Struthio camelus: one gene and its partner. The protein of the gene in region 2 binds, or shares a complex with, the protein of the main gene of each other region. Links are inferred from orthologs where the notes say so. Each region holds a gene or a part of one and is shown on either strand. Other genes may lie near its edges.

What was found.
Region 1: ITPR1 (region 2) and PRKG1 share a complex: the UniProt entries of both Homo sapiens proteins name them as parts of the cGMP kinase signaling complex. The link is inferred for Struthio camelus from reciprocal best matches to the Homo sapiens genes ITPR1 and PRKG1.

What each region holds. Positions count from the first base shown.
Region 1 is NC_090948.1:42,921,852-42,928,935, reverse strand, and holds the start of PRKG1 (cGMP-dependent protein kinase 1), read left to right. Parts: upstream 1-3,988; 5' UTR 3,989-4,052; coding exon 4,053-4,363; intron 4,364-4,630; exon of another isoform or gene 4,631-4,645; intron 4,646-7,084. UniProt on the Homo sapiens protein: Serine/threonine protein kinase that acts as a key mediator of the nitric oxide (NO)/cGMP signaling pathway. GMP binding activates PRKG1, which phosphorylates serines and threonines on many cellular proteins.
Region 2 is NC_090955.1:2,742,874-2,750,115, forward strand, and holds the start of ITPR1 (inositol 1,4,5-trisphosphate-gated calcium channel ITPR1), read right to left. Parts: upstream 3,082-7,242; 5' UTR 2,888-3,081; coding exon 2,862-2,887; intron 1-2,861. UniProt on the Homo sapiens protein: Inositol 1,4,5-trisphosphate-gated calcium channel that, upon inositol 1,4,5-trisphosphate binding, mediates calcium release from the endoplasmic reticulum (ER).

The DNA of each region.
Region 1 (7,084 bases), on a different chromosome or scaffold from region 2:
TTTGCAAGAGTTCAGCTTATGTGCGTGCTACCTTTCAGTATGTCTTTCTGTATTTTTAGTCGGCCTCACATCGTAAAGGTGTTACTCTGAGTAAGCATATAGGCAACGTACTCTGCTTTGCAAGTGTCTCTGTTCCCAGCAGCGGCTAAAGTCACGTGGGTGCTATACCTGCCAATTCTTCCCGAATCCGCACAAAGCTAAGACAAGCAGGGAAATCCGCTGCAAAAGCCAAACAGTTCAACTTTTGCTTTCTGCTGCAGGCCGGTCTGCTCCTGTAGACATTTTGGGGAAGGCGTAAGGAATGGATTGCAATGAATTAGGCAGGGAAAAAAAAAAAAAAAAGGCACGTCCAGGAGGAGGGAAATGTTTATGTATGTACTCCGTCATGCACCCCTAGCTTCTCCTTCCTTGCTGTCCTGGCTGGCTCTGGCAACGTGACGTTTGCCTGTCAGCGATCCAGCTTCATACCTGAGTTTTGATTGGCGAGCTCCGCGCGATGTTTTCGGAATAGGGAGCCTTCAAACATGTTTTGAGCGTCGAAGATGGCAGCTGAGTGGGTGCGTTTGGTGACAGATGATCCTTGAAAGGTTTAGAAGCCAAGCTATTAAAACCCAGAAGCTGTGCGCGGAGGAAATATTGTGAGTGTATCAGAACCTGTGCGGGCAGAGGAGAAGAAGAAACACTGATGTTTCGTGGGGAAGCCCGTGATTGCCAGTAGCAAGCAAGCCCCGGCGGTGTTTTGGGGTAGAGCTCAAGCCCTCTGTAGGATTTTTTTTTGTTTGGTTTGGTTTGGTTTTTCCAGTCTGCTGCTTACTGACATCGGGGCCGGGTGAGACACAGTATTGCAGTGGTCCGATCAGAAAGAGGCTTTGGGACCTGGAGGAAGTTTGGCTGCTGGCTCCCGTAACAAACTACAAGCCGGCTTCGTGTTGTCGTCCCCGGACCAAGGCCCTTCGTTGCGTTCCTGCCACGCGTCCATGTAAAGCTTTTTTCTTTCCGTACGCTCGATTGAGAAGACAAAGCAGCTGCTCTGAAAACCCGAGTGTTTTGCTGGGAACTTTAAGTTGAAAAGAACGGGATCAGAGGATTTATTTTGATCGGACTGGGGCAGCGGGATCTCCGTGCTGCTGAGACTGCAAGGCGGCCGATACCCCGAAAGCCCTGAAGCGTGAGCCGCACGGGCAGCTGCGGTCCCCCAACCCCACTCGTCTGCTGGTTTCTTCGGAAGAGCAGTAAACAACCAAAACCAGGCAGCCGTCTGCAGCCTTCACAGGACAGGGCTCTGCTGACAGGTTGTAGACCTTTCGGCTTCCTTGGTCTCATCTTGAAGGCTGGCCTTGGATTTACGGCTGCTCACCACAAATCTCCGACTGTCACGTAAAATCTCTCTTTGGCTCTCGGAGGTCTTATGAGACCAGGAGAATGGGCTTTCCACCTGTAAATAAATATTTTCTTTAGCTATCATTAGCCGAGTTCCCGGCCAGTTTTATTTCCCGTAAAGCCAGCGGCAGCAATCTCAGGGATACACTAAAGAGCAGATATGCGAGTTTCTATAACCACTGTGGAGAAATACTTGTAAGAGAGCATCCTAAGCATACGATGCCTCATCAAACACGTCAGCCCTGACAGCCTACGCCTCTGTCAAGCAGCATTTGTGATGTTTTTCTCCGAGTCCTTTCTGATGTTACTGTTGTCTCAGTCCCAGGCTGCGCACCTCTAATAGAAACTAAGTAATACGGCTTTGCTGCCTTAAAATGGAAATGTTCAGAGGATATTTAGTACTTTTGCTCCTAGTGAGTTATGTAAGATGTAAATGGAGGAAATATATAGCACCCCCCACCCAAAAAAAAAAAAAAGTCTGAACTTAAAGCGCGTTGTCAGCCCATGGAAAAGACCACTGAACTTTGAGTTTGTGCCTACCAAATGCATCAAGAAGACTTAAAACTGAAGCATTTTACATAAGCCAAATCTGTTTTTTCACGTGCCCCTTGAAAAATGCAGGAGGTACCAAACACATTGCAGAACCTGCAAAGTCTCATGCAAGATTTATTAGAAGAATCCAGGCCCTTGCAGACAACCGCTTTGAATAGGGGAGTAGTTGTAATTCCTCATCTGTTCGTTGTTTTTTTTTTTTTTTTAATTTTATAAAGACCATCTGCAGGTTGAAAGCTGGAACTCTGGACTCAGCCGAGCGCCAGTGTGTAACAGGAGAAAAACAAAAGCAAAACCCATAAACGCTGTCTCTCATTTCCAACTAATGCCCAAGTTGGAGGTCTGGACAGCCCTGCCAATGGCAGATACAAATGTGCAGCTACCACCCACCTCCAAAAAAAAATGTATCCATCACTACATCCTCCCCAAATCCAACTCCCAGAAAGGGAACGGGAACAGCTGCTTCTGGCGCCTTGGAAACATCCAAGCATGCTGCTCTGGCGGCTGAGCACTGCAAAAGCTCTTGGGGGCACCTACATCTGGCTGGGCGGGGGGGGGGGGGGATTTCTACCCCATCTCCTCCAAACCATACAGTCTTCTCGGGAGACCAAACCCAGCCATACTTTTTGCCCACAGATCCCTCTCTGCGTCCAAGGGGGCCAAGTCCGGGAGCTGTATCTGTCACAGCATACATCATCGTCCTTTTTCTGTGCTAGCAAAAGGCAGGCAAGAAAAAGAAAACAGAGCCATTTGGCACCGAAGGCTCGGCTGATCCGGCTCATTTGTTTTGTTTTGTTATTTTTGTGCCGCAAACCCATAAACAGTATTGCATAGGTAGACCCAAAGTGCCACCGTGGCTTAGCACGTGGAAAGTCCTGGAGCGCGATGCACCGTGCTCGCATTCCTGGAAAATCCTGACGTGTCTGGTGCAGCAGAATCTACTTTACACCTCCATATAGGTATTGGGGCTACACAGAAAGTGCACCCATATTTTAATGTGCTTTTTTAGTGCTATGGGACCCATAAGCACTGCCTCCAGATTTTTTCCAGCGAAGACATACTTGACCGATATTTACCTTAAGACCTGAGGGATTGGAGCCCAAAGCTCAGGCTGAGCAGGAGCCATGCCGTTGCCCGGTGCTGGCTCGTGCTTTCTGTTACAGAAGACAGTGAAAACGGGCTGTAAAGAAATCCTAAGCACGCGATAAGGTGGGCAGGTTCTGTAGGAACAAGTAGCACTTTTGGTTCAAGGAGACGGTGGGACGGGAGAAGAGCAGGGCACAGCCCCGACAGCGGGGCGCGGGATGCTTGGGAGCGCGAGGGGCGATTTTTGCAGCCTTCTCCCAGTGTGGGGACGGGTTCGCCGCCCTCCAGCCGGCGCAGCGTGGGAGCGGAGGGTTTGCAAACGCTGCCCTTGGCCCAGGCCCCTGGCCCCGGGACCTCTGCAGCCGGCTCCTGCTCGCAGCCGAGGGGAGCTTGTGGGCGCCCACGGGGCTGCCCGTGAGCCTCCCCCCCCCCCCCCGCTCCCCGGGGGTTTCAGAGGGAGAAGCCCGGCCGGAGCCCCTAGCAGTGCCGCGGGGAGCCCCCGGCCGGGGGGCGCGCAGCCGCGGGCGGGGAGCGGAGGGCCGCGGGTTCGCGCCCCGCTCGCCCCCCTCGGGGGTGGTGGGGGGGGAGCCGGGCCGTGCGGGGCGTTGGGAGCCGGCGGCCGCCTTTTGGGGAGGGAGGGGGAAAGGAGGGAGCGGCGGCGCGGCGAAAGTGCATGTGCATCCTTGCAGACGCCCCTTCCTCCGTGCCTTCCCTCCCTCCTCCTCCTCCTCCGTGTGTGTGTGGTGTGTGTGTAATGTGTGTGTGTGTGTGTGTGCGTCTCGCTCCCTCTCCAGTCTAGCCTGACGCAGGCAGATCGAAATCACCCCTGAGGAGCCGGGCTGCGGAGCGCGGTGCGGCGGGGGTCCGGCTGCCCCGGGGCGGAGCGGGCCCGGGGCCGGAGGCAGCGCCCCGGCGGCGGCGGCGGCGGCGGGGAAGTTGGCCCAAGTGCGGGGAGGCAGCCGGCGGGGGGGGGGGGGGAAAGTTGCCGGGAGAGGCGAGGGGCGAGCCGGGCAGCGGCGGCAGCGGCCAGGAGCATGGGCACTTTGCGGGATTTACAGTACGCGCTGCAGGAGAAGATCGAGGAGCTGCGGCAGCGGGATGCGCTCATCGACGAGCTGGAGCTGGAGTTGGACCAGAAGGACGAACTGATCCAGAAGCTGCAGAACGAGCTGGACAAGTACCGCTCCGTGATCCGGCCCGCCACGCAGCAGGCGCAGCAGCAAAGCGCCGGCACCTTGCAGGGGGAGCAGAGGACCAAGAGGCAGGCGATTTCAGCCGAGCCCACCGCCTTCGACATCCAGGACCTCAGCCACGTCACCCTGCCCTTCTACCCCAAGAGCCCACAGTAAGCGGCGGGTCGCAGCCCTGCGGGAGCGAGAGCCCCTCTGCCTCTGGGGAGCGGAGCGCCGGCAGAGCCGCTCGGGCGGGCGCTGCCCCCCCCCCCCCGCGGCGTGCGGCATGCCGGAGGGCAGACCCCCCCCTCCCCAAAACCAACCCCTTCCCCTTCCTGGGCAGCCGCATTGCTGCTGCCTTCCCCCCCCCCACCCCGCCCCAACCAAGAGAGTTTTTTTTTGGGGGGGGGGGGGGCAAGTTGTTGCTGCGTTCCCGAGGGTGGGAAAGTTGCGAGGTGTGAGTTGGGGGTGTGTTTGGCTGGTGGGATGTGGGGGGGGGGTCGGGCCAAGCTCGCGAGTGGGTGCTGAGGTGGAGGGGACAACCGCCCCCCCCCCCCGCACCCCAAATCCCCTTCCTTCCCTCGGCGACAAGTTTGCGTCGAGGCAGGCGGGCACCTCGGAGAGTTTTTGGTCGGGGAGGTGGGGGGGGGGGAGGAGGTTGGTTGGGACCGGAGCTTCTGGACTTCGGGAAGGGAAGGGAGGAAGGCGGCGGCCGCCGGGGAGCCTCCCCCGTCCCGTCAAAGGCGAGCGAGGGGGCGGAAAGTCGCGGCCGGGCGGTTGTCCCCCCCCCCCCCCAGTTGAAATCCCTCGCTCGACGTAGTCGCAGGCTGGAAGAGAGGGGCCTCGTCAAGCCCAAACCCGCCTGCTGTTTAGGGCTGGCCGGTTTTTGTGTGTCCCCCCACCCCCTGCTGGGGAACAGGAGGGAAGGAGCCTGCTCGGCTCGGAAAGGGTCCTTCAGAGGAGGGTCCTTCGGTCTGTCCTCCTCGTGTGTCCCTCTGGGGAGCGGGTCGGTGTATGGGACTATATGGGTTTTTTTTTTTCCTTTTTTTTTTTTTTAAATGATATAGTGGCAGGAGTAGCCCAAAAGGGAGGGGGGGGGTTGGTTCGTCAAGAGCCGGCGATGGCGGCTCAATGGCAGGTGCAGGCGGCCTTTGGCTTCGCCCAGGTGCGGCCGAGGCGGAGCGCGCCGCCGCCGCCGCCTCCTCGCCTCAGGCAGGTGCGCGGGCCGCGGCCTGGCCCAACCGCCATGGCGGGTCCCCGCCGTCTCCTAGCAACGGCCGCCTGCTCCTGGGCGGGGGGAGGGGGAGATGGCGGCGGCCTGGCCTGGCCTGGCCTGGCCTGGCCTGGCCTCGCCTCGCCCTCCCCCCCCCCCCAGCCCGAGCTTTCGCCACAGATATTTTGCCCTTTTAAGGCGAATCGCCGCTGCGTTGAGTTTAATAAAGAGCGGCGGGGAGTAGAGGAGCGGGACCCGAGAAGGAGGGGGAAGCGCTTCGCTGGGGGGGGAACGGACGGACGGACGGACGGACGGACGGACGGACGGACAGCCCCCCCGGTGCCCTCTGCGCAGGCAGGGACGCGTGGTCGGGCTGTGTGTGAAGGAGCCTTCAGCAGCTGTGGGCGATGTCCTGTGATGTTTCGGGGCGGGGGGGGACAGCGACACGGCTCAGAGGTGGCAGTTCTTGCGCCTGAGCTGCTAGATGGAGCCGCCGGCTCTCCCCTGGCCTACCGAGACCCTTCGGCTGTAGGCGGACCGAGTCCTGAATCTCTGCTGCCTACCGGAAAACGTACAGGAAACCTGTCAAAGCCTTGAATTAACTTCCCCCCCCCACCCCCCGGCTTCAATCTAACCTCTCATTCCTCAAGTTCCTCCGTTCAGTTTTACTTAGGGATAAGGCAGGCCACTTGCCTGAAGCGGCGTTCAGTATTGACCTCCCGTGGTCGGCGGTACCCATGACATTGTTTTCAGCTCCCGTAACTGCTTTGTGCCGTGATCACTGAGGGAAAAAGGTGACTCGTTTCGCTGCGACAAGTCATGAGGCTGTGCTGGAGCGCAATAGTCCCCTCTTCTCCAGAGCGTTCGCTGCCTTCTGAGATGAGCCGCGTGATGGTGATGAGGAGCGCCCACGCCTGCAGGTGGATGGACGCCCACCGGGCTAGCGCCACGTCTTCTGGACGTAAACTGTCCTCTCAGGTGCTTACCGCAACCTGTAAGTCAGGGCGCTGACGAGCACTTGTAATTTGCGTGTCCAAACGTAACCTGGATTAGCCGGATTTAGCGGTGCGGCAACTGGGAGAGGAAGCACAGGTCGGCTTAAATTGTCGGGATCATGACTGCCCTAAATCATGCCTTTTCCTGTACTTCTCCGCACGAGCCCCAAATATGGCTTATATAGTGCTCCTGTGTGCTTGCAAGGAACCTCTTGTCTTGATTATATTAAAAACGTGGCACAAAGTCTTTAGGCTATTTTGATGTTGTATATAACCATTTATGGCAGCAATAGAGGAAAAGGCAGAGAGGCTCTGGAAGCGTGGGTATATACTCAAAATAAGTTTCAGAGCATACAAGGCTTTATTTGCTGTTGCAGGGCTGGGCCGCTATAATTTTCCCTATAAATTTATCTTGCTGATGTGAAACTGGACTTTGGGCTCGCGTGAGTTTATACCTAAAATATACAGAGGGACACATCTTGCCATTTTCTTCGGGGTTAAAAGACCAGTGAGAGAAGTCAGATATTTGCCTCTACATGAGTCTTTGTATTTGAGTGACTAGGAAGAAGTTGCCTAAAATAAGAGTTGTTCTCCCCACCCTTCCCTACCCCCAGTGGAAATAACTTGCAAGAAGTGAGTGGAGAAAAGACTGGAGAAAGCTGGAGCGTTTTCCATGGTAGGAAAAT
Region 2 (7,242 bases):
GTCCATGATGCACTTAGTTCACCATTACCATATTTTCACTGTGGTTTATTGCTCAATTAGACTAACAATTGTGTATGTATTGTTTCAGAAATCGGAGCAGCACTTTATCAAAGTCTTTTTCACTATTTATATTAGTTAGGTAAGACTAGAATAGAATCTCAAATTGTACTCAACTACTCAGAAAAATCTACAGATAGGAAAGATTACAGTGAAAGTTTAATTTTGTTTCTTTTTTTTTTTTAAGAAAAAAAATCAAATTCTTAACAGTGGAGGAGAAGGAAAAGCCAACATAAAGGACTACTGTGGTATAAGCCATTGCCATGCATATGATGAAGCATCCACAAATTAACAGATACCACTAACATTTCAAGACTATCAACTGAGAACCCACAGAGGCAGATAAGTCCAAGTGTTCGAAGCAAACGGGATTGGGTCCTTAATGTTTCTGGTTTAGGCCTAGTAAGCTGACATTTCTTGAATGCGTTCACTGACTCCCCAGATTTTGGTGAGAGTCAGGTGCTTAAAACACTTTGCTAAAACCAAACTTTATAACAAGATTACCTGATCAAAAATTTGGCTTTACAGGCTTGGTCCAAAGTTGCTCTTAACTAAGAGATTTTTTTTCTAACGATTTCAATGCTTTGGATAGGACTCTAGCATGAGGTATCTATTTTTACAGGTGCAGCTAACTTTTTAAAAACTGAAACGAAAAATTGTTTCCCATCCTTATTTTAAAAGATAGGAGGTTTCCTCCCTAAGGGCTATGACAAAAGAATCATAAGCATTCCATCAAAACAGCCCAAGAGGAAGTGCTCCATGCAAAAGATCATCCAGCAAATAATCACTCTTCTGGGGCTGCAGAAGGAAACACTGTCCTTTTCAAAGCTTCTGATTTAGCAAATCTAGAAGGGGCTCTTGGCATACATGCACACAACATGGAAAGACAAATACAGCACAGTTTGGGTGACAGAGCAAAAAGGCAGTTGGCTCCTGACAACCATGGTAAGGGCCATACAGCAAGCAGAATAGCCCAGAAAAGTTCATTAACTCCTTAGTTGAACACTAGGTCAACAGTAGAGCGAAATTCAGAAACTTCTCAGACACCAACACTGTTTACAGCGCACGGAAGATGACAACGGCACAGGGAATCACAGGCACGCTGTCTCGAACATTAGATTTTTTTCCTTTCTCACCCTCGCATGCTTTCAGTCGGAAGTAGCTAAGAATTGTGTGAAGTATTGACAGGGTTATGTACTGCTAATTTCACGCACATGTACGTACACTTTGGAGATTACATTTAAAAAAATATAAACTTGGTATGTTTATCTACCACTTGATCTTGTTTTCCACTTACTGCTACCTTTCATGTCCAGGAGCCTGCTATCTGCAGACAAACTGTCATTTGATGAACGGGTAGATTAAAGAGGAGAAACGTACTTTCACAGAGAAAGTATTTTTCTTCCTAATGCTTAGAATGTAGCAGATTCTCCAACAGTTTGCAGTCTAAATAGACAAGACGGAGAACGTGAAAGAGGGGAAGGAGGAAGCAGCACAGTGCTATGACTTACTCAAGGTCATGCAGGAGGTTAGACTCAGAGCCTGGATTAGGATCCACGTCTCCTGAATCCTCATCCACCACTCCATACTGCCTCTCCTCTCTCAGGAGGGAGTTCAGCCCTATTGCACTTCCAATCAAGCATATTCTTCTCTTTCATTGAAAGAGGTTAGAGGAGGCAAGTAAATTCATACAGCGAGATGGTGGCTAAGTTAATTATGTTCTATTCCTACTGCATGCCACGTCACAGATAAACTCATTTTTTATAGTTACCCTACAAATGATGAAGTTATTCAGAAGTGACTAGTAGGTGCAATAAAAGTCAGCTTAAAAAAAAAAAAGAGGAGAGAGAAAAGACATAAAGCAACTCATTTTGTTAACTTAAACCTGAATGAATACTTAATACAAATAAGCAAACATCCGTGACATCCTTTTCTCCTCAGAAAGGATGCACACATTTCTTGATTTGTCCAATGCAACCAGATAGGAAAATAGTCACGCCAAACTTACAGAAAGTTAAAGTTGAAAAGAAAACACCCATAATTGCGCTAAGCAGAAGTTACACTTTGACAGACATATCTTATACAGCAGCCATTACATTGATATAATAAACGCAACTAACAGATCCTCATTGATAGATATTTGAAGAAAGCCAAAAAAACTACTGGGGGCACGCTGTCAGGAAGAAAAAAAAAATTTTTTTTTTAAAGTTTCAGACCAAGTACGACCTGATAGCAAATTTTCAATTCTATTAAAACTAAGAAGCACTTCAGTAAGTATCAACTTCTGAAAGTTGATACTTATTGGCTCTCACCCTGAGGGGAGAAAGCAGCTTAGACGCCAGCCTCTGGACGAGGCCCCTACAAGCACACTGTTTTCCAGAATATTTCTGTTAGAAGGAGAGTGTAGGAACATGCCAAAAGAACCCGGGCCGCCAATGTCATGGGGAATGAGAGCAAGCTTGGTTTATAATATCTACTGGAGTTTGGCCAAAGAAGAAAAGTGGCCAGGGAAGAAGAACGTACAGAACAGTCCCAATTTCATTTTGCATGGCCATATATCTACTGAGGCTTCAGCACAGAATGCTCTATCTCCTACAGCCTCTTTTGTCAGGTATGAGCCCCCCTGCTACCTCACAAGATGCAAGCTCTTCAGCAAATGCAATACTCCCTAAATTTACCAAAGCATTTTCCTTTTGTCTGTCAGTCTCATTAGCCCTCTGTTCATCTCCCTCTGACTACCTGCCCAATACTTGCATCCTTCCCATGCCCTATACTCCCCAGTTCTTCCTTTGCCAATACTTCACCTTGGTGGGGGTTCTCTGGCCTCCATGGCAGTGTTTGAGCCTTGTGCTGAGACTGGACTCGGCTGAATGGCTCCTGGTAGCTTCAGGTCCCTGCCAGTAATGAAATTAATGCTTTTCCCCTACTAGCAGGTCTCTTCTGTTGAAGGCTTGCAAGTCCTCTCTCGTCCTCCAGCTACAGCAACCCTTACGAGGGTTAGCTCACTGGTCTTCCTTCCTAGATACCTCAGCAGGCATCTAGGTCTGCAGTGAAAAACCTAAATGCCTGTGAGAGGCAGCCAAAGAGGAGGAGCCACTACCACCACGTGATTAGCACGTGTGGAGAACCACTGGTGGCCAGGGGACCTACTTTGAGCCCTACTGATCTAAAAAAAGCCCAATCAAGTTGGGCTCCTTTACAGATGAAGCCTCCAGGTTCCAGACTGACTTGTACATGTTGGTCCCCCAACAGTAATTTTCTAGAATGCAAACATGAGTCATTCTTCTGAAGCAAAGGTTCAAAATACTGCACCAGCTTAGCTCACAAAGAACATCAGCAACTGAATCTGCTTAACCCTTACATACGGAGGAGTGACCAAGGACTGTTGAGTTATTTTAACCATAAGATGAGTTAAGTTTTCAATTAACCCTTTAGACCAAGGATCATTAGCCAAACCTGAAAGGGTTAGGTATCTGTCTTTGTGTCCATGAATCTCCTGTTGGAATGGGATAGAAAGGACATATCTGGACATCACACTCACGCAATCAGTGCTTTTTTCCTCAGAACTTCTTGGTAGATTTCTGAAGAAGAAGATAGGATGTGCCAGGGTAGAGAAGAATTTTTATTTTGTTATTTTATTTTATTACAAAACCTTCATCCTAAATTGCTACTAAAGAATTCCTGGAACAAACAAACAAATAAATAAAAATCAACCAACCAACCAGAAAAAGCTAGTCTTCTGGCAGTGGCCGTTTTTTGACCTACTTTGGTCAGACACACTTCTTATCCACATATGCACAGAGATTACCGTCTTCTAACTCCAGACATCTTGCACAAGACAGGGATGATGAGAGAGAGAACTGCTTATGTATACATTATTACATCTGGATTCAATATTCAGACTTCTTTCCCTGTAACTTAGTAGCAGATTACTCCAAAAGAAGAATTATCATCTAATGTCCTAATCCAGAAAGTTGCTTCATTCGGCCCTCAGTCTGCTCAGAGCTATTTACTATTCTTTGCTACTCTGTTCAGTAGAATGATCAATGAGGTATAAACACTAAGCTTTCTGCAATGCTCCTTATATTAGCATTTGGCATACGAGGATATAGTTTTATCTCTGCAAACTGTAAATCAGCAAAATAACCTGCAGTTCCAAGCTCATCACTAAGACATTTTTCTCTCTAGAGCAGTTGACTTGCCCAGATCTGAACTGACATTTTATTCTCAATACAACAGTGTGAGGAAGGAAAAATAAGTTCTGATGCAAGTTTTGATAGGCTTAACCAAAACCACAGCTATGAAAATGAAACTTTGAGTTCAGAATCCACAGCTGAATTTTGCAGCTTTCCTCCAGTTTGAATTACAATTCCTGTAGTTTTCATTTTACCTTAATTTTTTCCCAAATGAATTTAGTCTCTTAAAACATAACAGCATAGAAGACTTGGAATTGTAATTTCTCAACGGGTACAGACCAAGCAAGAACAACATACTTCCTGTTGCTGCCTCTGCCAGTCTAACAAGTAGTTGCAGCACACTGAAAAGATAGCTCCAACACCATACCCCAGTTATAGCTCATCATCTGTGCCAAGACTGAGAACCAGGCAATAACTGCTGTAGTGCTTTTGCAGCGTCCATTGGGAACAGAAATAAGAATGGAATATCAGGCCAGATCAAAGCTCGCCTTGTTTGGCACCCTGCCTCCTACAGCAGCCAGTGTGAGATGCATAACGGAAGAGCACAGGAATCCGCGTAAAAAGCTGAGGGAAGGGTCCTGCTATAACCTCCCTTGATAAAACACCCATTTTGAGTAACCGTGGACAAAGGTAGATAGGATCTGACTTAGCAGCCCATGTACCATCCGCTGACTTTTCAGGTCTTCCATTTCATAGCACTCAGTAAATCAGTATCTGTGTGTACCTACACCACAGCATAGGCTGCTATATAAAACTGCTCAAGGGTTTTTAACCCATCTTCTGTATTATTACACAAAAAACAGGCAGAAAAATGCTTCAGACTACTGCAGTAGTGAATGTGCTATCTCAGCAGCAGAAGCAATTGATTTGGAACATTCCGCAAGGCAGAATGTTCTGAATTTTCTGAAACCAGATTAATACCACGGGCACACTGTGACAGAAGTGTTACATTTATGTAACTTTCCCCTAGCACACCATTTTCTACCTCTAAACCCCTTGGCTCCCTTTAAGCTTCTTTGGTGAGGCTGTCTTCTCTCACACTCACCCACAGAAAAGCAAGCAGCTAGTCTATCAGATACTACAGAACCACTACCTTCATTCCACCTCCCACAAGATCTTGAGATTCCTTCTGCCTTAAAGCATAATCCTACTATAACTATCTTATATTTATGGGATAATAATGTCTCAAAGACTCCCAATATGCTTTGCAGCTTGACACATCAAACATTCCTATGGAGTATACAATGCACTCAAGAATTACTATGCACAGTATCACAGGGGAATAGCACAGCTGACCAAATCACCAGAATGGACTATGCCTGCTCTTGAGGCTGCTTCATCTAAAGGACAGGACTAGGGCTCAAGATATCTAGGTCCTGTTTCAAGTCTGCTTTATAGCACTGAAAAAGAAGCTTCACCTCAGTATTGTCTGTCTTGAGCAAGCCTCTCTTCTGATATATTGCCACGTTACAGAAAGCAGTTGAAAGGAATTCCTGCCTCCACCAAGGACTTCCAGATCTACTCTAGACCACACAGGCTGGAAATTGACTGGGAACCTGGACTAGTACCCTTCCTCTCACACACACATAAGACTATAGCAGTTGGAAACTCGGCTTTACACTTCCTCCAAAAATCTGTGGGTGACTACCTTCTCACTCTGCCATGTTGTAACATAGATTCAGAATTAGCTTTACAAGGTAACTGAAACCACACAGCAGTATTACTTCACTCTTTGTCAGGATCGCTCTAAATGGCAACCACACTTGCAAGGAGCTAGGAGTTGAGATTCAGCTTCTTCACCTGGACTCTTCCATTTTCTAGTCTATCCCACACAAACAGATTTGTTGAGGTGACCTGAGAGGATAAAAAGACAGTGCCATAATACAAGCCATTACACCTCTTGTTTATAACCAGAGACCATAACTATTATTTCTACCTCGCTCCACTTTATTTATCAGTCCCAGTATATTTCCTCCATTTAGCTGTTCTTGCCTAGACTTGTAGCTCCAACATTTGTTGCTGAAGACCTACACTCACAACATGCTTGCTTCTTCAGTGTCATTCATTAAGCCCTCTTCCACCCTCCAACAATGGTATTCATGACTAGCTATCGTTGAAAAATATACTATTACCCACAGTTAAGCTCCACCCCAAGACTGCAAAGGCAAATGAAAGTTGCTCTTGCCGTTTATTTCCCAATTTGTGAACCTCTATAAAAGAGGAAACCGGATTGCTCTCTATGTCAAGAATTAATGAATGCTGCACAAGCAACAGATGGGGGTGAGGGAACGCTCATCTAAGCAAACACTTTAATCTCAGACCGGATGAAGGAATTTTAAGACAAGAAACGTGTTACTGACAAACAAAAAATTACTTTAAAAACACATTAGAAATAATCGGCTCAGTGGAGAGCTTACTTCACAGTGCTCCTGCAACAGCTTGTTTTGCAAAACAATGGAACTGTGTTTTTCATTTCCACAATTACTTGTTTTGGTTTATACATATTGATTGCTACACATTCACAGCATTTCAAGTCACTGTTTTTTATAGCAGTTAGCTTTCACATTGGCTCTGACAGGAAGCATACCTTTCAGTGTGTACTGTTACGCCAGAATTTTTGCTCCGATCAATAACACCAATGATCTCCAGTCCTCGAGCAGCTAGCACTGGGTAATCAACACTTTGCTATAATCACTACAGCGTGCAATACTGTCATGTTTCAGGCACCGAGTTTACTCTTGTAAACTCATGCTGAGTATTCAGAACCTAGAATATTTGCTCTGCGTGGAAATTAGTTTAAAGCAGAGGCCTACCAAAAAAGCAAACAAAATAACCCAGAGGCTAACAGCCCATTAACTTGGCTGCAGAGAAACTTCTGCGGGACAGAAACTGATATAAGCTTCATCTTACACCCCTCATCCAGGCAACTGAGCCCTGTCAGGAAACCATTCAGATGTGGACCTTTGGACTAGGCTCCGAGTCAGTGAGT